4 linked regions of the Oryctolagus cuniculus genome follow. The protein of the gene in region 4 interacts with the protein of the main gene of each other region in a pairwise test. Links are inferred from orthologs where the notes say so. Each region holds a gene or a part of one and is shown on either strand. Other genes may lie near its edges.

What was found.
Region 1: the proteins of BNIP2 (region 4) and BCL2 interact in a two-hybrid assay, tested with the Homo sapiens proteins (3 studies listed by BioGRID and IntAct). The link is inferred for Oryctolagus cuniculus from reciprocal best matches to the Homo sapiens genes BNIP2 and BCL2.
Region 2: the proteins of BNIP2 (region 4) and FRK interact in binary tests that used the Homo sapiens proteins (3 or more experiments, as listed by UniProt). The two-hybrid records come from large-scale screens. The link is inferred for Oryctolagus cuniculus from reciprocal best matches to the Homo sapiens genes BNIP2 and FRK.
Region 3: the proteins of BNIP2 (region 4) and KLC1 interact in binary tests that used the Homo sapiens proteins (3 or more experiments, as listed by UniProt). The two-hybrid records come from large-scale screens. The link is inferred for Oryctolagus cuniculus from reciprocal best matches to the Homo sapiens genes BNIP2 and KLC1.

What each region holds. Positions count from the first base shown.
Region 1 is NC_091441.1:15,290,844-15,296,408, reverse strand, and holds the start of BCL2 (apoptosis regulator Bcl-2), read right to left. Parts: upstream 3,771-5,565; 5' UTR 3,634-3,770; coding exon 3,088-3,633; intron 1-3,087. UniProt on the Homo sapiens protein: Suppresses apoptosis in a variety of cell systems including factor-dependent lymphohematopoietic and neural cells. Regulates cell death by controlling the mitochondrial membrane permeability. Appears to function in a feedback loop system with caspases.
Region 2 is NC_091436.1:55,210,844-55,215,886, reverse strand, and holds part of FRK (tyrosine-protein kinase FRK), read right to left. Parts: intron 3,666-5,043; coding exon 3,507-3,665; intron 1-3,506. UniProt on the Homo sapiens protein: Non-receptor tyrosine-protein kinase that negatively regulates cell proliferation.
Region 3 is NC_091451.1:46,419,051-46,424,792, reverse strand, and holds the start of KLC1 (kinesin light chain 1), read right to left. Parts: upstream 3,790-5,742; 5' UTR 3,591-3,789; coding exon 3,580-3,590; intron 3,140-3,579; exon of another isoform or gene 2,923-3,139; intron 1-2,922. UniProt on the Homo sapiens protein: Kinesin is a microtubule-associated force-producing protein that may play a role in organelle transport. The light chain may function in coupling of cargo to the heavy chain or in the modulation of its ATPase activity.
Region 4 is NC_091443.1:82,562,848-82,568,570, forward strand, and holds the start of BNIP2 (BCL2/adenovirus E1B 19 kDa protein-interacting protein 2), read right to left. Parts: upstream 3,273-5,723; 5' UTR 3,045-3,272; intron 1-3,044.

The sequences.
Region 1 (5,565 bases), on a different chromosome or scaffold from region 4:
CCTGGAAAGGGACACTGCAGAATCCCTCCTAGGAAGTGACTCATCCTAAAAGATACCTCTGGGAATCATGGCAGCCCCATCTCTAGCTTTACTGGGCACCCAAGCCAAAGATCCCAGCTCAGCAGCAGTGGCTGGAACCTGAGATTTTGCCTTCCTAGGAAGCTGTGGGGGATGCCCCTGCCGCTGGCCTGAGAGCCACACTGGAGCAGCAAGTCTTAGACATTTTCTGGAACTGCTGTTCTGCTACTGCTCCCTCTGCCTTTCTCTGGATGCCACACAATGCCTTATTCAGACTTAGGAATAAAGCCACACTCCACTCCACACCCAATTACTTCTTTAGTCTTCACGTAATTTGTGAGCTTCTAGGATCATCTCTCAGAGGCTGAACATTCCAAGGACCTGCTTTCTCCGTGTCACGAAACACAGAATGCAGACGTTTCCCCCAGCCTTAGAAGGTTCTGATTTTGCAGCAGCAAAGAAGAAAAAGTGGCTCCAAGTCTGAAGCCTGGAGTGTTGGGTGCGGTATTTAGCAGTTGGGCTGACTGATCCACTGACCCCTGGCAACAGTGCCAATCATTTCTGCAGGTCAAGAAAATAAGTTAGTTCTGTGAAACTTTACCATTGTCACTAAGACTTCTTTACAGTCTGAGATGCAACCCTGACTTTGTGAACTGTAAGGAAAACCTGTCTTTCTGAAAGCCAAATGTTTAAAATAAAAATTTAGATTAATAATACACATTTGAAATGATAGGCAAATCATGTATAACTCTCAAATACTACCACTTTTATTATTCCAGAGTATCCACATATGTTTGCATTTCCTGATTTATACTCTTTTTTGTTGCCAAATTCCTTTGTTTTCCTGTAGTCATCCATCTACGTGTTGCTCTGAAAACTATTACACATTTTACCATCAGCCATTTGTGCTTCTATATGATTTATTTTTACTGTAAGAGGTTTTGTCAAAAAATTTTTATCATGTGCTACAGAATGTCATTGTGGTTTGGCATCATAAAATGTAGCTTGTGCATTTATCGACCTCAGATACCTGTTGACCACAAAGATAGGCTCTACAACGAAAACTCTATTGTGAAAGGAAGAAAAAGTGAGCCCTCATTTAAAAGGAAACCTCAGTTGTATGAGACATTAACATACTGCAGCTCAACAACAAACATCAAGGTTCTATCTTAATCTCCATCATAAACATGTGTCTGTTTCCTACCACTTTATTAACTTGCTTGATACATGGCGGTTTCCACCATGGATTTCTTTCAACTAGACAGAACTTTTTTTTTAATATGGATTTCTTTTTTTTTTTTATGAAAAATAGGAACCAGGAGACCTATTAAATCAGTTTTACTTTGGTTTTAGAATGATCCTTGCGGAGTCTACAAGTCCCTTCCTCTTTGGTTATGGTGATTAAAAATCAAACCAGCTGCTTAACTAAACACTTAACAAAAATATTCTTTTCATCCTTTAGCAAATTACTCCAGAATCACTAAAGACCTGATAATGTGGGATTTCAACAAACAATCCATAAAGAGTCATTAAATTTTAGAGATTTAAATTGGGATATTTTAGTTAATTTTACATTCAAACATTGAACAGTGGCATCAATATTTTGTCAACTTTGGTCAAATAATATCAGATGTCCACATCAATCACCTACATTTCTTGGCCCCGTCTCTTTTTGGCCCCTTAATATTAGCATACTTTGAAAAATGGAGCAAAAATGAAGAAATGTGCTTCTTGCAGTCACGTCTAGGCTTTTGGATCCCATTAGGTTCTATAATGTGAGTCATTCTCCTAAGAGACTATAGAAGAGCTCACAGAAATGCATCCTTCTTCCAAGATAACTCTTCAGACTAAAAACAAAGTTTAACAAAACTCCAGACAAGAATGATTACTTTCTCATAAATTAATCCTTTTAGGTAAGAGATGGAAATCTTAATTAAGCACCGTTGAGTCTTGGGATCCGCACCCCAGTCCCAGAGCATCATGGAAAAATACAACTGCGTGGTGAACAGGATCGAAGCTCTATCTAGCAACCGCCCCGGAGCGGGAGAAAAAGCGTCTTACCAAGGTTCTTAAAAGTCACAGCTGCTCATCACTTCAACCCTGGTCAGCGCATGAAAGAATCCACAGCTAAAGATCAATTCTTCTACGCTTTACATAGTTTCCCTAGGTGCAAGTTTCTCTGTGAGTGTGTGTGGTGTATGTAAGCAGAGACCACAAAATCATGTGGCGTCTAGGTGGTAAAATGTAAGAGATGGTAAAACTCCAGGAAACTTCTAAATGCGACACAAGGGACAGCACACAAAGTCTGCAGCCAATCCAAACCCCATCACTGACAAGAGGACGCAGCGCATCCACAGACTGCTGCCCTTCAATGCACACCATCGTGTCCACTGGGTCACGGCCCGACCAGCAGGTGAACACTCCCCCGGCTCTCCCTACGTCCACTTACCTCTTCACAAACACAGCTAAGACCTTCAGGGAAAGGGGTTACACTGGGCTTCCTCTGGGGCAGTTTTTACCCAGTGAGGCAAACATGTTCTTGGTCCTCTGGGGGAGTCTGTTCTTCGATGGGGTGGCTTACAACTTTTAGGACAAAGACAAATCCACCAGGGGAGCCTGTTTAGGATGCAGACTGCCAGGGCCTCGCCCTGGGGTGGTGGTGGTCGTGGGATGCGCGGTGTGTCTGGTCCACACCAAGTCCCTGAAACCTGCGATTTCAACTACCCAGGCCACGTAACTGTGGTGCTGGGGACTCCGCAGCCCCAGTTTGAGAAGCACGGGAAGGCAGGACCATGCATCACAAAATCCTACTGGGCCGCAAAGGCAGCATCTGGGAGCCTCCAGGGCTGGCACACCACTTTTGGCGGGAAGCAGTTGCCCTAGCTGGGAGGGCAGGGTGCGCTTCCTGCAGGGCGCGCTGGAGGGAAAGCAGGGAAAGTGACACACCTGCTGTTAGCTCACGGGCTCTGCAGTCTGCCCCGGCCCCCGGGGTCCACCCACACCCTCGCCACGGCATCTCGGACCTGCGACCGCAAGCCCAGACTCACGTGCAACCAGACAGGCACCTACCCAGCCTCCATTATCCTGGATCCAGGTGTGCAGGTGCCGGTTCAGGTACTCAGTCATCCACAGGGCGATGTTGTCCACCAGGGGCGACATCTCCCGGTTGACGCTCTCCACACACATGACCCCACCGAACTCAAAGAAGGCCACAATCCTCCCCCAGTTCACCCCATCCCTGAAGAGCTCCTCCACCACCGTGGCAAAGCGCCCCCTCGCGGTGAAGGGCGTCAGGTGCAGCTGGCTGGACATCTCCGCGAAGTCGCGGCGGTAGCGCCGGGAGAAGTCGTCGCCCGCCTGGCGGAGGGTCAGGTGGACCACAGGTGGCACCGGGCTGAGCGCGGGCCCCGCGGCGGCCGGCGGCGGCGGCGGCGAGGTCCTGGCGGCCGGGTCCCGGGGCGCAGCGGGCGCGGGCTGGGAGGAGAAGACGCCCGGCGCGGAGGCGGCGCCCGCGTCCCCAGCGTCCCACTCGTAGCCCCTCTGGGACAGCTTATAGTGGATGTACTTCATCACGATCTCCCGGTTGTCGTACCCTGTTCGCCCGGCGTGCGCCATGCTGCCCTTGGGCGCCCGCGGTGCCTCCGGCCGCGTCCCGCCGCACGGGCCCGCTCAGAAGCCGGCGGGGTTCCCGGGCGCGCGCCGCATCCTCGGGCGCGGGGGTGTCTTCAGTCACGCGGAGCCCTCGCTTCTGGTGTTTCCCCGTTGGCAGCAGGCGCAGGAGATTTTTACTCAAATCCCTTTCGGATCTCTGTTTCACGAGGCACGTTATCATTCATAAGCGTGGTGAACGCCAGTCTTTTCCCTACGTGATGCTAGAAGGTTGGAAAAAAAAAAAAGGCAAACAAACAAAAACAAAACCTGGTTAAGCCAAACTCAGGTGCGTTCTCCGGCACACACGGAGAGAAAGCGGGGGCATGCACGCTGCGGGCCACACGGCTAAAAACAACGCATTCAACTGCCTGAAAATTCACATTTACTCGAAGGCACTCCGAGTTAGCATCTCGAGTGCCGCCACCGAAAGTTACGCGAGCCCGATCTGCTGCGCAAAGAACTTACTTGTGTTTTTAAAGGACAGCATGACCCTCTGTCCAGTTTCCTTCTCTGCAAAACCAAAACAAACGCATAAGGCAAGGATCCCATCAATCTTCGGAGCTCCCGGGTGAGAGCCGCTTGGAAACTTCCGAATGAATCGGGAGGCGGCGGGCGCGGGTGTAGGCACCCCGGGGCGGGGGGGTCTCCAGGCTGGCCCCCGGGTTTCTGCTCCTCAGAAACGTCAATCCGCAGGAATCCGGCCCCGAGCTCCGGAGCGCGCTCCGTCCGGGCTCCCCTCGGCCACTGACAGGCGCGCGCGCCGCGCGGGCACGGCGCGGACTCTGCCCCGGACGCCGACGGGGCCCGGCCGGCGCGGGGTCCTCTTCTGATTCAACTCCGAGAGCAGCCGACGCGTTTTCCGAAAAGCTGCGGATCAATGAAGGCAGGACGCGCCGGCCTCGCGAGGAGCCCGCGCCGTGTGTGGTGCGGCCAGGGTGGGGAGCGGGGGAGGGTTTTATTTTTTTTTTCCCTCTTTTTCCTAAAAAGGATGACTGCTACGAAGTTCGCCCCCCTGGACCCCTCTTCCGCTGCACCCGCCGGCGCACCCGCCTCCGGGCTGCGCACCCTTTCTGCTCCGCCCGCTCCCGCGCCGGGGCGCTGGCGGCGGCGGCCGCCGCCTCCTCCGGTCGCGCCGTGCGGCAGCTCCGCGCTCTGACGGCCGCTGGCGGGGGGCCCGGCGCCCGGGCACCTTCGCGGGCGGCGGCGGCGGCGCGGCGGGGACCCCGGGAGCGGCGGGCGGGCGGGCCGGCGGGCGGGCGCGCGGCGCGCGGAGGAGGGGCGGGGGCGGGGAGGAAGGGGGCGGGCGGGGGCCTGGCCGCTGACTTCATTCTCCTCACAAACCGACTGGTTTCCTGTACGTACGTCACTGTTCATTCAAAAAAAGAAGAAAGAAAGAGCCCTCCTCTGAGCCGCCCGACGGCCCCCCCCTCCGCCCCGCTCCCCTTCCCCGGTTAAAGGCGCCGCGGCCGGCCGGGGCCCGCCGGGCACACATGGCGCGCGGGGCCGCGGCTGGGGAGGGCGCGCCCGGGCCGGCCGCCCGCGGGGCCCGGCCGGTGGGTGGCGCGGCCGCGGCGCGGTAGGTGTGCCAGGGGCCTCCCCGGGCCTGCGGCGGGCTCGGCCTGCGCTCGGGGGTCGCCGGGGCCCGCCGGTGGGCCACGGGCGCCGGGCTGGCCGCACGCGGCCGGGCCGGGCCGGAGCTACGCCATGAAAACAAGGGCTGCAGAGGCGCCGGCAGCCGCGTGGACCTTCCGGGCCGGGCGTGTGTGTGTGTGTGTGGAGAGGGTGCGGGGCCACGCACATCGCGCGCAGGTCAGCGCCGTGGGGAGCCCGCGGCCCTCGCCGGCCCTCGCCAACCCCCAGCCGTGAGACCACCCTGAGAAAGTCGTGTTTACTTCC
Region 2 (5,043 bases), on a different chromosome or scaffold from region 4:
ACAGCACCTAATCTTACATCTTGGATGTAAAAAGGTTTTCATGAGTAGACATAATACTGAAGAAAATCAAGTAATACATGTATCTTATTAGGAACAGAATAGTGTCCTAAGAAACCTCAGCACATACTTCAAATAAAACCTCTATGTATCAAAACTGGTATAGAGATTCACAAACCTGTCACAATTTATATTTGCAGCAAGAAAATATTTTTAATTACTTCCTATTACTCAAGTCTTTCAATTTAATAACATTTATCACGATTGGCTGTGTAAGAGTGGCAGATTCCTTTTAAGGCCACTTTATTGAATTCACATCCTCTGACTGGGAAGGGATTTCTGACAGGAAGCATTTCCCTGTTACATCATCTGGGCTGTTAAATATCCTTACAAATGAAGGCCTTGATAAACTTGACCCTGATGGCCTAACCCAGAAGATGATAAAATTTGTACTCAGTCCTATGAAACCTTATCAACAAGCCACAGGAATCCTCAATGCCCCAGGAAGTTGTTGTGTACTAACTGGGTCTTTTCAAGCTGATGTCAAGAGTCTAAAAACAAGTTTGACCCCAAGATTCAATCATATTAAGGTCAAGATGATCCCAGTTTATTTATTCAATCAGTCAACACATAATTAGTACACATCTTTAGGGTCACACACTATTCTAGCACTAAAATGAAGAGGAATCTCTGCCCTCATGGAGTTATATTTAGGAGATACGAGAAATAAGCTAAATAGATAAGGAATGTAATATGTTGATTAACAGCTAAGGAGAGTAAACAAAAAGCAGATAAGAGGAATACAACGATTCAGTAGAAGACTTAAATTTTAGAATTAATATAGTGAGGTGACCAGTGAAGGATTCACCAAGATGGAAACATCAAAGACTTTAAGGTAATGAGAAGTGAGCATCTGGATAAGAAACTAGAATAATCGCAGCAGAGGAAATAGAAGTGCAAAAACTTTAAGACGAAAGCATTCCTAGAGGATAAGAAGAATAGCAAAGAGTCCTGTGCAGCTGACCAAGTGACCTAGGGGCAAGTTGTATGGGAGCTGAGGTCAGAGAGCTAATGGACAGGTAAATGATCCTGGAGGACTGAGTTAAGAAGAGATAACCAGTGACAAGCACAGAAGGTTTTCATCTAAGGAAGGACAAGCTCTGCTTTGCATTTTAACTGGATCTCCCAAGCCATCATGTTAAAAGGATGCTAAAGAGGACAATAACCAAAAGAGGTGCGCCAATGAGGAGCTTATTGCTGAATCCAAGACACAGATGATATTGGCTTGGATGTAAGAACATTGGGAAGAGGCAAAAATCCTGGATATATTTTGAAGGCAAGTCATTAGATTTGCTGATTGGTGAGATATGGGATATGAGAAGCAGAAATGACTACAAAATATTAGGCCTGAAAGTTGACATTGTCAAAGAAGGAGAGACTGCAAGAGTAGCAGTGCTGGGGAGAAGACAAGGAGATCAGTTTTGGATAAGTCATTCTGAGATATCGAATGGACATGATCAGAATTTAGGGCTGTTCACAAACATTTTTTTACAGAACTGTACTTCCTTACACCCTTTTACTTGATTTGGCCAAGTGAAGAAGGCACACGAGTTACCTCTGTCATATCTAGTCAGAAGCTTTAAGAGCCAGAATTGGATTAGTGTCATCCCCCTTCCCAGCCAGGATGATCAAAAGAATCGAGCCACCATCCAATGCATTTTGCACACATAACATGAGGAAGAATAAAATACATGTGATAAGTCCCTGAGATTTGGGGAACATTTGCTATAGTATACCTTCATTATCTGAGACTGATACAATGTTCAAATGCAGACATTAAAAGGGCAGTTGGATATATTATTTTGAGGTAAAGGGGAAACAAAATTTAAGGAATCATCAGTCATAAACAAGTTTTTAAAAAGAGACTGAACAAGATGAGCAAAGGAGCTATCCAATATGGCTGCAAGACGTCCCCCCTTCCCCAATACTTACCTGCAGGTCATCATAATGTCATCACAATGAAATTATCATGCGGTCACTTCTACTCCCATCATATAGCTAACGCCATGACATTTCCAGTATTTCCAAAAACAGGCATGGAAATAGATGGTACTCAAGCCACACTCCAAATTCTACCTCCTTCTCAATATTCAAATAGGCTCCACTCCAGATATCACCCATTATACCTCTGGGTGGTATCGACCTAAGCTTGTTGAGGGTGAGGGTTGCTTTGCTGAGGGCTTTTTCAATGTTGGAGGTTTTTACAAGGTAAGGGGTTTTGCTTTGGGAACTGTTTACACTTTGTTCATTTCTCTCTCTCTCTCTCTCTCTCTCTCTCTCACTGGCCTTAGTTATTGAGTTTGTACTTTTGTTTGCTCTACATAAATCCAAATCCCCTGTATAACTTTATGCCTCCACGTTTGAATTCCTTCATGCATGGAGGAAGCCTGTAATAAGCCCTGTCAGGAGACCCACACCCCACAACAAGATGGCCTACGATCACGCCTGTATTTTGTCCTAGGAATAGGCAAAAGGGATCAGTGGTTGACATTTGCCTTTTTTTGGTGGGTAACATATTCAACTGCTATTAAATCAGAAGTCTTTATGCAAGAGAGTAAGAATATTTTTGTTTTTAACAGCATTTAACAGGCCTTACTGTGTTCTTTGTTCTTATCTTGCTTTGCAACTTATTATCAGCTTCACTAGTCACCCCAAAATCAGAGAATACTCTTATCTTTCTGAAATCTTTGTTCCATTATTCTTATCTCCTTTTACCTCTATACATTTTTTCAATCTCACTCTGACACTTCAAGAAATTATAGCAAAAGTCTCTTTCTCAAGCATGAATTATTCTCTCAGTACTTGATCTCAACTTCTTTGAACATCTCATTTTAATACTTATTATATTATTTATTAAATTATTCATTTGTAATAAACATCAAAATTTCACCATGCCCTTAAGACTTCTCTGACTACAGGAAGCTGATATAAGAATAATGCAATAATCTATATCTGCTTTTTAGTCTGAAAATTCTAATGTTGCCTGGCAGTGGAAGTATTTTAAACACAAATAAATACAATACTGTCAAACACTAGCCAAGAAAAAAGAAAAACAAAAGCCTAAGATACTTCTAGCTCTGTTTCCCCAAAAGTATTCCATGTCCCCAAATTCTGTGAAACAGAAAATATTAGCCATGACTGATAATGTTTAGTTAGTATAGGAAAGAAAGCACAAAACATCAAATCTTCAATTCCCTACATTATATTTAAGTACTCTGATTCTACTGTGAACAATTTGCTCTTCCACTACATAAATATTTTTCCTGCCTTTGATGACACAGTACATATCCTGTTAAATAGTAGTTGAGCCACTCAGTGTTAAGACATTCATTCTCACAGCACACACAGTAAATGTCCTTTGGGTTATAGAAGATTTGCTAAATTGACATTTATAGGACTAGTCAAACTAAATTCTTCCTTTTTTCCCTTTTATTAAGTATTTAGCTTACTTTGGAGATATTCTTGCAGACTTCCATGTCTCATCAACTCTGTAATAATATAAATTGGATCTTCTAAAGTGCAAACAGCATAAAGCTGAATAAGCTTTGGATGTCTTAGGCTCTTCATTATCTGTGCCTCCCTCAGGAAGTCATTTGGATCCATTGAACCTGAAACAAGAAGAAGGGGAAATCACTTCACGTTATTGAGGCATTCCTACCCTCACAGCGGCCTGGTGGGAATCACCAAGATTGCTTCCTGCCTCTCAGTAAAGTAAAAGCACAAATCTTCAGAGTTATCAAAGAAGGGAATCAGTTCAACCAGGGCAACCTAATCACTAGATGTGCTGGTATATCAGGGGTGTACGGTTTATGTGTTATGACCTGTAGGTGAAGAAAGGTTGATTCAGGCCTATATGAAAAATGATGAAAAAAGGAGAGACTGACATCCTAATTGATTAAACAAGGCAAGGACCTAAAGAACACAAAGGGAAGACATTCTGTTAACATGAATAAGGGAAGACACCAAACGTTTAATTACTGCAGCCAGAGTTTTTGTTCTAGGATTCCAGGAAGACTGATCGTTGTCCTGTCCTTGGTGCCCACGGCGGGAACAGCTGGAAAACAACCCTAAAACAATGACATTCTATCATATTTATCTCCTTAATTCTATAGGAATATAGAATGCAAGCCAAGTAGAAAACATTCAAAAGCAGTTCCCAAAAGTTATTTTTCTACCAGTTTTATATGTTCAACTTGAAAGTGATATTCAATATTTTCTCCTGAATAATCTGTTTCTTCCATCACAGCATTAATAGCTTAGTCAAATGATAAGTGAGACAGTATTGGGGCCTGCTTGGAGGACTCATCTACAGTTAAATTGTATTTAAGTAGCTCAACTCTGAATCAGTATGCAGAGTGTCAACTGGTAAATATCAAATGGAGTTTAAGGGATGGAAGAATACATGCAGTTTACATTTCATCAGTAATTTGAAAATCTCTTATTTCCTTTAGGATGTGATATTTCAGAGACAATATTTGAAATTGTCGCTTCACATCTTAGTATTCACTACAGATAATGCAAATATCATTCCCATCGATGCTCAGAGATGGTCTCATCCATCATCCTCTCCATGTTGAACACCTCACAACCGATATTTGAACCTGGCATGGATAAGCTTTGATATTCTAAAGTCAGTATGACTTGTTTATTAATGTGAAGTTAAAAAGAGGTATATGTGACCTTCATATCATTGTACACAAAACATTCAGGCAGTGTAGTTCAGAATCCAGGACTGGTCAAACTCTGGATTCTGGACAAATCTCAGCTTTGCCACCAGTTCCCTGTGTGACCATGAGTAAGTTTCTAATCTCTCTGAATTTTAGTTTCTTCATGTGTAAAATGTGACTAATAACCCTACTTACCTCATAACTTCACTATCAGGATATACTTCACACATATGCATTCAGTGTCTCCTGACCATCATTTATATTGTTATTAATATACATACTCAGTAAAAACAAATAGACCAATTATATGTTTTTTTTT
Region 3 (5,742 bases), on a different chromosome or scaffold from region 4:
ACGGCCGCGGTCCACGTGCCGGGGCGCGGGGCGCAGGGTGGAAGCAGAATCCCGAGTGGAGTGCCCTGCCCGTCCACCCTCAGTGTCGGCACTGGACGGCATGTCACAGAGCTGCCCCACCCACAGCAGTGCCACCGGCTGTCAGTTTGGCAGTGGTGGTACAGGGAGCTTCAGAAAGGCCTGAACTCCCACCTTAAGTAGCTCAAGTCAGGGAACAGACCTGGCTCAAACGGAGATAGCTGGGCCCCTGCAGAACCAAGAAACTAACTCCTGCTGCATTTTCATTTTTTTAAGATGTATTTATTTATTTGAAAGAGTTACAGAGAGGGAGGAGGAGGGGGAGGGGGAGGGGGAGGGGGAGGGGGAGGGGGAGGGGGAGGGGGAGAGGGAGAGGGAGAGGGAGAGGGAGAGGGAGAGGGAGAGGGAGAGGGAGAGGGAGAGGGAGAGGGAGAGGGAGAGGGAGAGGGAGAGGGAGAGGGAGAGGGAGAGGGAGAGGGAGAGGGAGAGGGAGAGGGAGAGAGAGAGGGAGAGGGGTCTTCCATCCACCGGTTCACTCCCCAGATGGCCACAACAGCTGGAGCTGAGGTGATCTGAAGCCCGGAGCCAGGAGCTTCTTCCAGGTCTCCCACGCAGGTACAGGGGCCCAAGGACTTGGGCCACCTTCTACTGCTTTCCCAGGCCACAGCAGAGAGCTGGATCAGAAGTGGAGCAGCCGGGACGAGAACCGGTGCCCACATGGGAAGCTGGCATGGCTTTACCCACTACGCACAGCGCCGCCCCCCCCCCCCGCTTCATCTTTTTAAAAGATTTATTTATTTGTTTGGTTGTTTTTTATTTGTTTATATGAAAGAGCAACAAAGAGTTCCCACCTTCTGCTTCACTCCCCAAATGTCCACAACAGCTGAGGCTGGCCCAGACCCCAGCTCCATCCACGCCTCCCACACATCTGCTGCCTTCCCAGGATGCATCAGCAGGAACTGGACGCCCGAGCGGAGCTTCACTCACAGCCCGCACAACCGCCCTACCGGCTGCTTTCAATCTGCACCGCAACTCAGCCGGAAGTCCCGTTCATCCTTTAAAAGTGGAGGCAGTACGCCAGGGACACTCAAAGCAGACCAAGTCCCTCCATCTGCCTCCAAAAGTCAGTTAAGGCGAAGTAAACTGTAACTCCCTGTTGACCCGAGACGGGGAGCAGAATGACACAGCAGGGCTGCAGGAGACAGCCAGCCTCCTGGGGAATTCTAAGGGAACCTGAGTCATTAGCAACTGCCACCACCTAACCCAGCTGAGCTCTCCTCAGCCCTTCCGGCCGCCTAGCCACTCTGAACGCGACCCCTTCCCCTTCCCCTGGCTCCCAAGGGCCTCTCCACACGGCTGGACGTCGGGACGCCACTGGCCTCTCACAGCAGGATACAGCCTCTCCAGTCCCGACCTCCAGCCCACCTGTGTCCGGACCCCTCCCAACCGCCGACTGGGCCGCCTGGGGTCCCACAAGCGCCTGGGATCTAAGGCATCCAAAACCAAACTTGCTTCCGTCCTGTTCCCATTGCCCGTCTTGGTGGGAAGTGAGCCGCGCAAGCCAGAGAGGAGGAAGCCGCTGGAGACGCAGGCCTTCAGCATGGATGAGGCGCGCGGCACTGCCGCTGAGCGGGCCGACAGAACCCGCCCTGCGGCCGCCACCAGGTGACGGTGTTTAGACAGAGGGAGGCTGGGGGGGTCGGGCGGGGCAGGTGCCCTGGAGGCCCCCGAGCCTGGGCACAAGAGGCGGCAGAGGAGGTGGGGTGCTGGGGGACACTGGGCAACCTCGGCGGAGGGCCGCGCCATCTGCCCGGGGTTCTCACGGGGCTGCTCGGCCTGCACCCCAGGGCAGGTCACTGTGACCCCTGCAATCCTCGCTAATCCGGCCGCCCCCACCCGGCTCCCGGGCCAGCTGCCCCCGCACAGCCGCTGGGCTCAGCCGCGGAGCGTCTCCCCACCACTGCCATGAGGAGTCGGGGTGCTGCCCAGGCCAGGCGGCCTGCTGCTGGTGGACACCGCCGCCGGGGGCTGCCCGTCGGCGCAGCACCTGCTCCGTCCAGCTTGCACAATCCTCACTGCCCGGCACCTGCTCTGTGGAGGCGCTGACCGCTTCCTCACCGCGAAGCGCCGGCCTGACACCCACCCACCCACTGAGGACGCTGCCAGCCTGCGCCACGCCTGCGTTTCATTCAGCTCTGCCCTGTCCTGCCTCGTCTATTCTCCAGCCCTCACGGAGAGTGACAGGGCCTTCCCTCTCCAGTGCGACGAAGCACCGCAAGAACGTAAAATCTGAACCGCAGCTTCTGTCGCCGGGCGCCCCTGCCCCTGGGGGCCCTCGGCCCTCGGCCCTGCAGGGGCTGCGGCCAGGCGCCCCGGCCTCCCCGCCCCGCCGGCTGCCAGGCGCGGCTGCACCGGGAGGCTGCGCTACCCACACCCACACCCACACCCACACCCAATTCCACACCACCCGAGACGCCGAGTCCGCGCGGCCGTGCATTCTCACAAGCCCCGGCCCTCCGCCCACCGGGCCGAGCGCTCCGCCTGCGCCTCCGGTGCCCGCACCTCAAAGGGCGTCGTCCTCCCAGCCCACCCGCCCGGACGCCGGCTCCGCCCGCTCTGCCGGTCCACACCGACGGCGGGGCCGGCTCCCCCGTCAGGCCCGCCGCGGCGCTCCGAGGGGCTGACAGCGCTCGCCGGGGCGGTGCCGGGCGGGCGGGGGCGGAAGGCAGCGCCGGCTCGGACAAAGCGCCGGCCGCGCCGCCCCCGCCCGCGGGCTCGGACCCCGCCGGGGATGCGGGGCGGGGCCGGGAGGCAGGGCCGGGGATGCGCGGCCGGCGCGCGGCGACCCGACCCTGCGGGGCCCCGGGCGCGGCCGGGCCGGGCCGGGCCGGGCCGGGCACTCACCGTCCCGCTCGCCGCCGTGCGCTCTCGCGCTGTCAGCTCGGGGAGCGGCCTCGGCCGCCTCAGGCGCGGGTCACGGGGAAGGGGCGCCGGCGCAGCGGCCGCCACGCATCCCCGGCCCGGCGCTGGGCTCTGCACCGCCGGCGCCGCCCGACGCCTCCCTCCTCGCAGCTTCGCCCCGGCCGCGCGCTCCGCCGCCGCCGCCGCCGCCGCCGCCGCCGAAAATGGCGACTCCGCGTCGCGCCCGCCCACAATGCCGCGCGCCCGCGTGACGTCACTCGCGCCTCCCCGGGAGCGGCCGCGGGCGGGGGTCGGGGGCCGCGCGCCGGCTCCGTGCGCCCCCGAGCGCGCCCCGAGGCGCTCACGCCCCCCGGCGCGGACGCCGCCCCGCCCGCCCCCCGGGTGCGGGCCGGGCCCGCAGGGCGGTGCCCGCGGCCGCCGCATCCCCGCTGCGGCCTGACTCAGCAGCCGGCCGAGGGCGCCGCTGACTCAGGGGCCGGCGCGGGGCCGCGCCCTCGGCGCTGTGGTCGGCCCGCGCCCGAGCCGGTGCGGCCCCGCGCGCGGGGGTCACGGCGGCCGGGCGTCCCCCTGCTCGCGCCCTGCGCCCCGGCTCGGCACCCCCCGAGGACCCCCGGCGGCCCCGCACCGCTCCCTGGGTACCTCTGACCCATGCCAGTGCCCCCGCGGCTCCCTCCGTCACTGAGGGTTAGGGCGAGGCCACGCCGACGGGCAGCACCGGCAAGGTCCCCGGGCAGAGACAGTCCTCCGGCAGGAGGGACCCGGCGGCGCCGGGCAGGGGAGAGGCGGACGCGTCCGTGGCGCCCACCGCTCCCGCGTCCTGACTGCCGTCAGGTTCAGACTCCTCAGCTTGGCCTGCAGGGCCCCAGGACCGGGGCTGCCACCCTCCCCTGCCCCTGGGTTCGCTCCGCTGTCCATGCTATCCACTCTGCCTAAAATGCCCCTCTCCCCCAGCCACTCCGAGACTCAGCCACGAGGCACCTCCTCCAGGAAGCCTTCCCCGCCTGCACCAGCCTCCCGTGCTCTGTGTGGTCAGCCTAGGGCACTGGGGCAGGGAGGGCCTGCGTCCCCTCAGCCCCTGACCCGGCTCTCCTTGGCCTCACCCCTCCCCTCGCGGGGAATGAGGAAGGGTCGGTTCTCAGATCACCGTGCAGCCACAGGAGCCCCGTCGCCTCACGGCGTCGGGACTGCACACTCGGTCACCACCCGTCGGGTCTGCAGCCGGGTTACAGCAGACCGTCAGCTCCGCCAGTCCTGCTGCCAAAGGTTTTCCCCAGCCTGCACGGGGAAGGGGCGTGGGAGGCAAGTGCACGGTCCCTTCTCAAAGGTACCGCATCCAGGCAGGGCAGGCTCCCCGCAGATCCTGGGCCGGCCGGGCTCTCGGTCCGCGTCCGCCCCAGGGGGTGCTGGCTGCTGCTTGAGGCCAGGCTGGTGCTGCACAGTATCTCTGACGCTGACCCATCCCTCGGACAGCAGGTGCGGCCACACCCGCTCACACACAGCAGGCGCGGCCACACCCGCAGGGCTCACACACGAGACGGGTGTTAGCGCGGCAAGGCTGGCTCCTGGCGGGGACAGGGGCTGACCTGGGACAGCAAACGGCCGGCTTCTGAGACAGGAGAAACCCAGAGGGCGGGAGACGGCTGGGAAGGGCGTGGGCCGTGAACCTGTGGGTGCTCGGCCAATGAGAGGGGAGGGCGGGACTTGTGCACCAGGTGTGTGTGAACCTGTGGGTGCTCGGCCAATGAGGAGAGGGGGGAGGGACTTGCGCACCAGGTGTGTGTGAACCTGTGAGTCCTCGGCCAATGAGGTGAGGGGGGAGGGACTTGTGCATCAGGGTGTGTGAACTTTTCAATCCTCGGCCAGTGAGGAGAGGGGGGAGGGACTTGTGTGCAGGTGTGTGTGCCTCGTTCCCTGTTCTGAGTGTGCTGTCCCCAGACACCCGCCCTTGCCAGGCTGTGAACAGAGCCTGGCTTTTCTCTGACCTGTGTGTCAGAGTCCATCCTTCCAGGCCGGGTGGTCTCTGGTGGGCTTATTTCCCACCCCCGTGAGTCTGATTTCCGTCAAGATCCTCAGGAGTTCTGCTCAGCCCTGGAGCCATCAGCAGGCAGCCTGGGCCCCCGGGGCGCTGCCCTGGATCAAAATGTGGGTGCTGTGCCCCACGCCCTGAGCACCCGGCAGCTCCAGCGGGGACCTCAGGAAGCCCACCTGGCGGCGGCACCAGGGCGCGGCGGTCTCCAGGTCATCCTGTCCTGGGGTTTCACTCCGAGATGCTGAGTCCCCTCTGGTCCTGTGCTGCCCACACCTGTCCCTGACTGACAGACGGCACTGCCGTCCTGGGGTTTCCTTGCTGGCCCTGGAGAGGCACTGTCACGCAGGCTGGAGTGGAGGGAGCCCCTCCGTGCCTCCTGTGCGGGTGCTAACTCAGCCAGGGCCCAGGTCCGAGAGGCCTCCGCCTTTGTCGGGGGGACCTAGAGAGCAGGACCCCGGGGCTCCCCGGGTGGAACCTGAATCACCTGTTCATTCAAGTGCCAACGGCACTGAGCAGCCCTGCGGCCAGCAGAGAGCTGGACAAGCAGCCAGGGTCCAGGGACCCTTTGCCAGATGGAAGAGCACTTCCAAGGGAGCCGGGAGAGAGCTGCTCCCCGCTCGGCTGTCGCTATAGGAGCCCCTGGTCCTGCCGTGCAGGGCAGGCCCTGACCCGGGTCCCTCGCCCTCCTCGCCGGCTGTTTCTCCTTTTTCCTTTCCCAAATGGACATACTTTGTCCTCTGCACTCACCGACGTCCAAACCCTTCCCACCTCCG
Region 4 (5,723 bases):
GTCTATAACTCTATCTGTCAAAAAAAAAAAATTTCAAGGAGATAATGGATTGGGGGAGGGGTGGGGTTGTGATCTGTATATCCAATCAGGATGAAGGAAAGGATTTCCCCATGCAACTTGGCAACAAAAGGCAGAAATCAAACATTAGGGTCATATCTAGAACTGTCCAGTTCCAACTCAACTTAAAATTTTACATAGTAGTAACTGCTGCTGGAATTGGTGCAAGCAATGACCATCTATGCTGATAGAAGAAAAATGCCAGGCAAGCCTTTTTCCACTTAAACAAAAGAGTTTCACTCTAAACATTTATGTTAAGTTTTAAATCAACAACCTATATGTTTATGAGAATTGCCAAAACATCCCCCAGAAAAAATCCTTTATGCTCATCATTGTTCCCTTCAGGGTAGGTAGCATCATCTAAGTTTTTTTTTTTTAAGATTTATTTATTTTTTTATTTGACAGGTAGAGTTATAGATAGTGAGAGAGAGAGAGAGACAGAGAGAAAGGTCTACGGCCAGTGCGCTGCACTGATCTGAAGCCAGGAGCCAGGTGTTTCTTCCCAGTCTCCCACGTGGGTGCAGGGGTCCAAACATCTGGGTCATCTTCTGCTTTCCCAGGCCATAGCAGAGAGCTGGATTGGAAGAGGAGCATCCAGGACTAGAACCGGCGCCCATATGGGATGCCAGCGCCACAGGCAGAGGATTAACCTACTGTGTCACTGCGTGGCCCTATCATATAAGTTTTTAAGAATAAAATGAAAGGCTGGGGCTGTGGCACAGCAGGTAAAACTGCCGCCTGCAGTGCTGGCACACATATCGCTGCCAGTTCGAGACCTGGCTCCACTTCTGATCCAGCTCTCTGCTATGGCCTGGGAAAGCAGCAGAAGATGGCCCAAGTCCTTGAGTCCCTGCACCCTCATGGGAGACCCGGAAGAAGCTCCCGGCTCCTGGTTTTGGATCGGACCAGCTCTGGCCAGTGCGGCCATCTGGAGAGTGAACCAGTGGATGGAAGACCTGTCTCTCTCTCTCTGCCTTTGCCTAACTGTAACTCTGCCTTTCAAATAAGTAAATAAATCTTTAAAAAAAAATAAATGAGATCTCTATGAGAAATGTTAACTCAAAATATCAGTATGCAGGGGCCGCTGTTGTGGCATAGTGTGTTAAGCTACCACTGGCATCCCCTGAGTTCTAGCTTTTGATCCAGCTCCCTGCTAATGGGCCCAGGAAAGCACCAGAAGATGGCTCAAGTGTTTAGGCCTCTGCCACCCACATGGGAGACCTACATGGAGTTCCAGGCTCCTGGCCCAGCCCCAGCTGTTGCGGCCATCTGGGGAGTGAACAAGTGGATGCAAGATCTCTCTCCCCTCTCTGACTCTGCCATTCAAATAAATAAAGAAATCTTAACAAAAAGTGATCAGTATGCAGAACATACTAGAGACCGTTAAAAAGAGCTTAACAACTGTGTGATATTACTATCACCATATCATAGTATTTTTGCTTTATATGAAGTACTCTTAACAAGACACCTTTTGATCCAATGTCAGTCAAGGTTAATATACTGGATCTGGGTCTGTGTCTTTTTTTTTTTTTTTCTAGATAGCTCTTATCCTTATCGCTCAAGCATTAATCCAGTTAGAATGAACAGTGCCCTGTCCAAAACAGTGCTTTTCACCACTTACTGACACTTGTACAACCATCATCTCATCTGCTCCAGCCGACAACTTTTGTGAGGCGCCGACACTGGTATTATTATCCCTGTTCTGTCTTATGTGAGCAAATGACACCACATCCTGGATCCCGGAGCTCCTCCACTGGCAGCTTTATACACGGTAAGTCTCATGGCCGGATCTGGTACACTTAGTTTCAAAGGTTCCGTAATGCCTGCAAGTCACAAGAACCTTCCTTGCTTGATGACAACCTAGTTCAAGTTCATGTTTGCAGAAGATATGTCATACTTTCTAAGCCCAACTTCAGGCTGCAGGAGGAAAGATGATCAAGACCAGGAACGCAGTTTACAAAATAAGAGCTAAGGAGAAAACGTGCAAGATGACTCAGAAACTACTAGTCAGAACGTTAACTTCACTAGGTAACTTCCATTAAAATTCTGGCGAAATGTAGCCATTTACAAATTACAAAATTTCTTCTACAACTGCAGAAGCTCTCATAAAACATCAGAAAAAGGAGACATTTTACTGAAAGTAAAAAATCAAGCAGTACTTAAGTTAGACTCCCCCGTTTAAAAAAAAAAAAAAAAGGCAAGGATGGAAAAAGCACCACTATAATGCACTCACTTCACTCAACCAACTGGGAGGCACTGGGACTACCTTAATGAACACAGAAAAGCTGTCTGCGCAGAGCCCCCCCAGACAGACGAGGTCAGTTTCAAAGCAACGTATTAAAGATCGAAACACATTTCTGATTTAACACGGGTTGATCAAGTAGCTTAGCTCTCCAGGGGCAGCGGACGCACCCAGGACATCAAACCCTTTCTCGCCAGGTACTTAACAGGCCGTGTCTGTAAACACGGAGGGACGCAGCTTTTCACGCACACACCCGGTATTTGGCCGAGCTCGCCCGGGGCCGTCTATAAAGCCCTGTTTGCTGTTTCCGTGCCTAACCCCCGAAGGTACGCGGCACGCCACACAAGTCCAAGTTTCCTTTGTTCTGCAACAGGACAGACTCAGACCACCAGTACGGAACCAACGCGGCCCGTCACCGCGCCCAGACCCCGGGTGGAGGGAGGAGCAGACACGGGGGAAGGTTCCATCCCCGGCACAAGCAACAAAAACGGAAAAGCGACGGAGCTGGGGGTGCAAGGCTGGCAAACGCACACAAGGAGCCGAGCCAAGGGCGGGGACCTGAGCCGGGCGGGGAGCCGGAAGGCGCCTCCCAAGCAGGTTCGAGCGCACCCCGAACAACGGAAAACGCCCTGGGCCTCCGCTCCGCAGCAGCCGGCCTTGGGCAAGCGCCCCTTCAGACGTGCGCCCCCAGCCCAGTTCCCGGCGCCCGGACTCGCCGTGCTGAGCCCTCCCAGGCCGCACTCACCCCGGAGGAAGCCTTGGCCTCCTCGTCCTCTTCTACCCTCCAGGCCGGCGACGTGGTGCTGACTGCCAGGTCGCAGAAGACGGCGCCGAGAGGAGCCCGCTCCTCTCGGTCAGCGGTGCACAACCCAGCCTAGTCCCCGGCCGCAGCCCCAGCGGCAGCTGCAGCGGCAGCAGTTGACCCGGACGCAAAAAGCAGCCCGGGCGGAAGTGACAGCATCCTGACCCTTTCTAGGCTCTGCGGGAGGCGGGGGCGGGGCCGGGGCGTGGGGGGGCGCGGCCGGGGCGTGGGGGCGTGGCTTCCTAGTCAAACCCACAGCTTTGCTCCCTCCTCCGCTGTCCCGGGCTAATACCTGCGCGTGCGCACTTGCGGCAACTGGAGCAGCCCTTGGCTTTTGGGTCTCTACTCTCTTTTTTCCGCTTTTCCCTGCGGTGAGGACGCCTGCGAACTCAGGGTCATTGCTATTTTTCTTCTGCTTGTTTTTACTATCGCTACAGTGCCTGTGTTGTATAAAGTAAATGACCCGAGGGGAGGAAATATATGCGAAGCTTACTTTCAGGCATGTAGATCTCAAGGCAGTCTCATTTAGGGGCTGCTGTTGTGGTTCTGATCGCAGGTTCGAGTCCCAGCTGCTCCACTTCTGATCCAGCTCCCTGCTAATGCACCTGGGAAAGCAGTAGAAGATGGCCCAAGTGCTTGAGCCCCTGCACCCACTTGGGGGCCTGGATGAAGCTCCTGGCTCCAGCGGACTATTGCCAGCGGATGGAAGATGTTCTCTCTCTCCTTGTCTCTGTTAACTTTGACTTTCCAAATAAATAAACAAATAAGCGTTCGGCAAAACTTTCTCTGTAAAGATTTACTTCTTTAATTGAATGGTAGAGTTAGAAAGAGAGGGAGAAACATCGATCTTCCATCCCTGGTTCACTCTCCAAATGGCCCAAGTGCTGAGGCTGGGGCTGGGACTGGGGCTGGGCCAGACCCAAGGCCAGAGGCCAGGAACTCCATCCGGGTCTTCCACTTAGGTGCCCCAGGCCCAGGCACTACCACCATCCCCCATTGCTTGCCCAGGCACCTTAGCAGGAAGCTGGATGGGAAGTGGAGCAGCTGGGACCTGAACAGGCTTAACCTGTTTGGCCACCAAGTTGATCCCAAATCCTCTTTATTTTGAACAGCTTTAGAGCAGTGTTTCTCAAACTATCTCTGGAGTGCCATCAGTTTATTATCATTTTAAAAATTTCTGGCCGGTGCCGTGGCTCACTTGGCTAATCCTCCACCTGCGGCACCAGCACACCAGGTTCTAGTCCCAGTGGTGCACACCAAGTTCTAGTCCCAGTGGGGTGCTGGATTCTGTCCCGGTCGCTCCTCTTCCTGTCCAGCTCTCTGCTGTGGCCCGGGAAGGCAGTGGAGGATGGCCCAAGTGCTTGGACCCTGCACCTGCATGGGAGACCAGGAGAAGCACCTGGCTCCTGCCATTGGATCAGCGCGGTGCACCAGCCGCAGCAGCCATTGTGGGGTGAACCAATGGAAAAAAGGAAGACCTTTCCCTCTCTCTCTCTCTGTCACTCTGCCTGTCAAAAAAATTTTTTTTCCAATTGTGAATCATATTTTAATAAAATATAAATGAAATGAAAAAAGGTCTATGAACTCCAAATGAAAATATTTTTATTACAGTCACCAGCTGTAGCATTTCTTGTAAAATTGCTCTATGGATTTCTAAACTCTGCACCTTAATTTCTGCACTTGCCTCTCTGTAGGCCAGTAACAATCCTGAGGGGATGAGGTCTGTGGACTGTATTTTGAGTAGCAATTCTGCTCTACAGATTTAGAAAGAAAATGAACTTAAGGGCCAGCATTGTGGCATAGCAGGTAAAGCTACCCACCACCTGCAGTGCCAGCCTCCCATATGGTTCGAGTCCTGGCTGCTCCACTTCCCTTCCAGCTTCCTGCTAATGGTCTGGGAAGAGCAGCAAAGGATGGCTCAAATGTTTGCGGCTCTGCCAACCACATGGGAGATCCAGATGAAGCTCCTGGCTCCTGGCTTCCACCCAGCTCAGCCCTGGCCATTGCGGCCAATCTGGGGAATGAACCAGCGGATGGACGATCTCTCTCTTTCTCCCTCTAACTGTGCCTTTCAAATAAGCAAACATATAAATAAATCTTTTAAGCAAAAAGTAGACTAATGTGGACAATATCATAATCCCTCTTAGAAGCGTCATCCACTGCACAAAGACTCAGCTGTTTGAGTAATTCCATAAGGAATGATCAAGCCTCAAGCGAGCAGGAAAGCTCAGGAACTAAAATCATTGACCCAAAATGTAGCCCTTGGGGGCAGCTACAGCCTTGCTTTGGTAACATTTACTCACGATTGACAGATGGTTAAGCTCTCCATGCCTTGTCTACAAAATGGGGGAGGAGGGGGGCATGGGAGCAATACCTACCTCATAGGGTATTGGTGAGGTGAGCTTGTATGTAAAATCAGTGCTTGGCATATTGTGATTGTGTGTAAGTGTTGGGTATTATTTTCTTCCTAATAATTATGTGAAACAGCTGGCAGACAAAACAAAACTGATCAAACAGCTTTAGCTAAACAAGTGCTCCAACCGTGTTCCTATGAGACATTTCATCTTCAGTGACAGATATTTTATAAATCCAAATTTTGTTGATTTCAGCTCTGCAATGTGT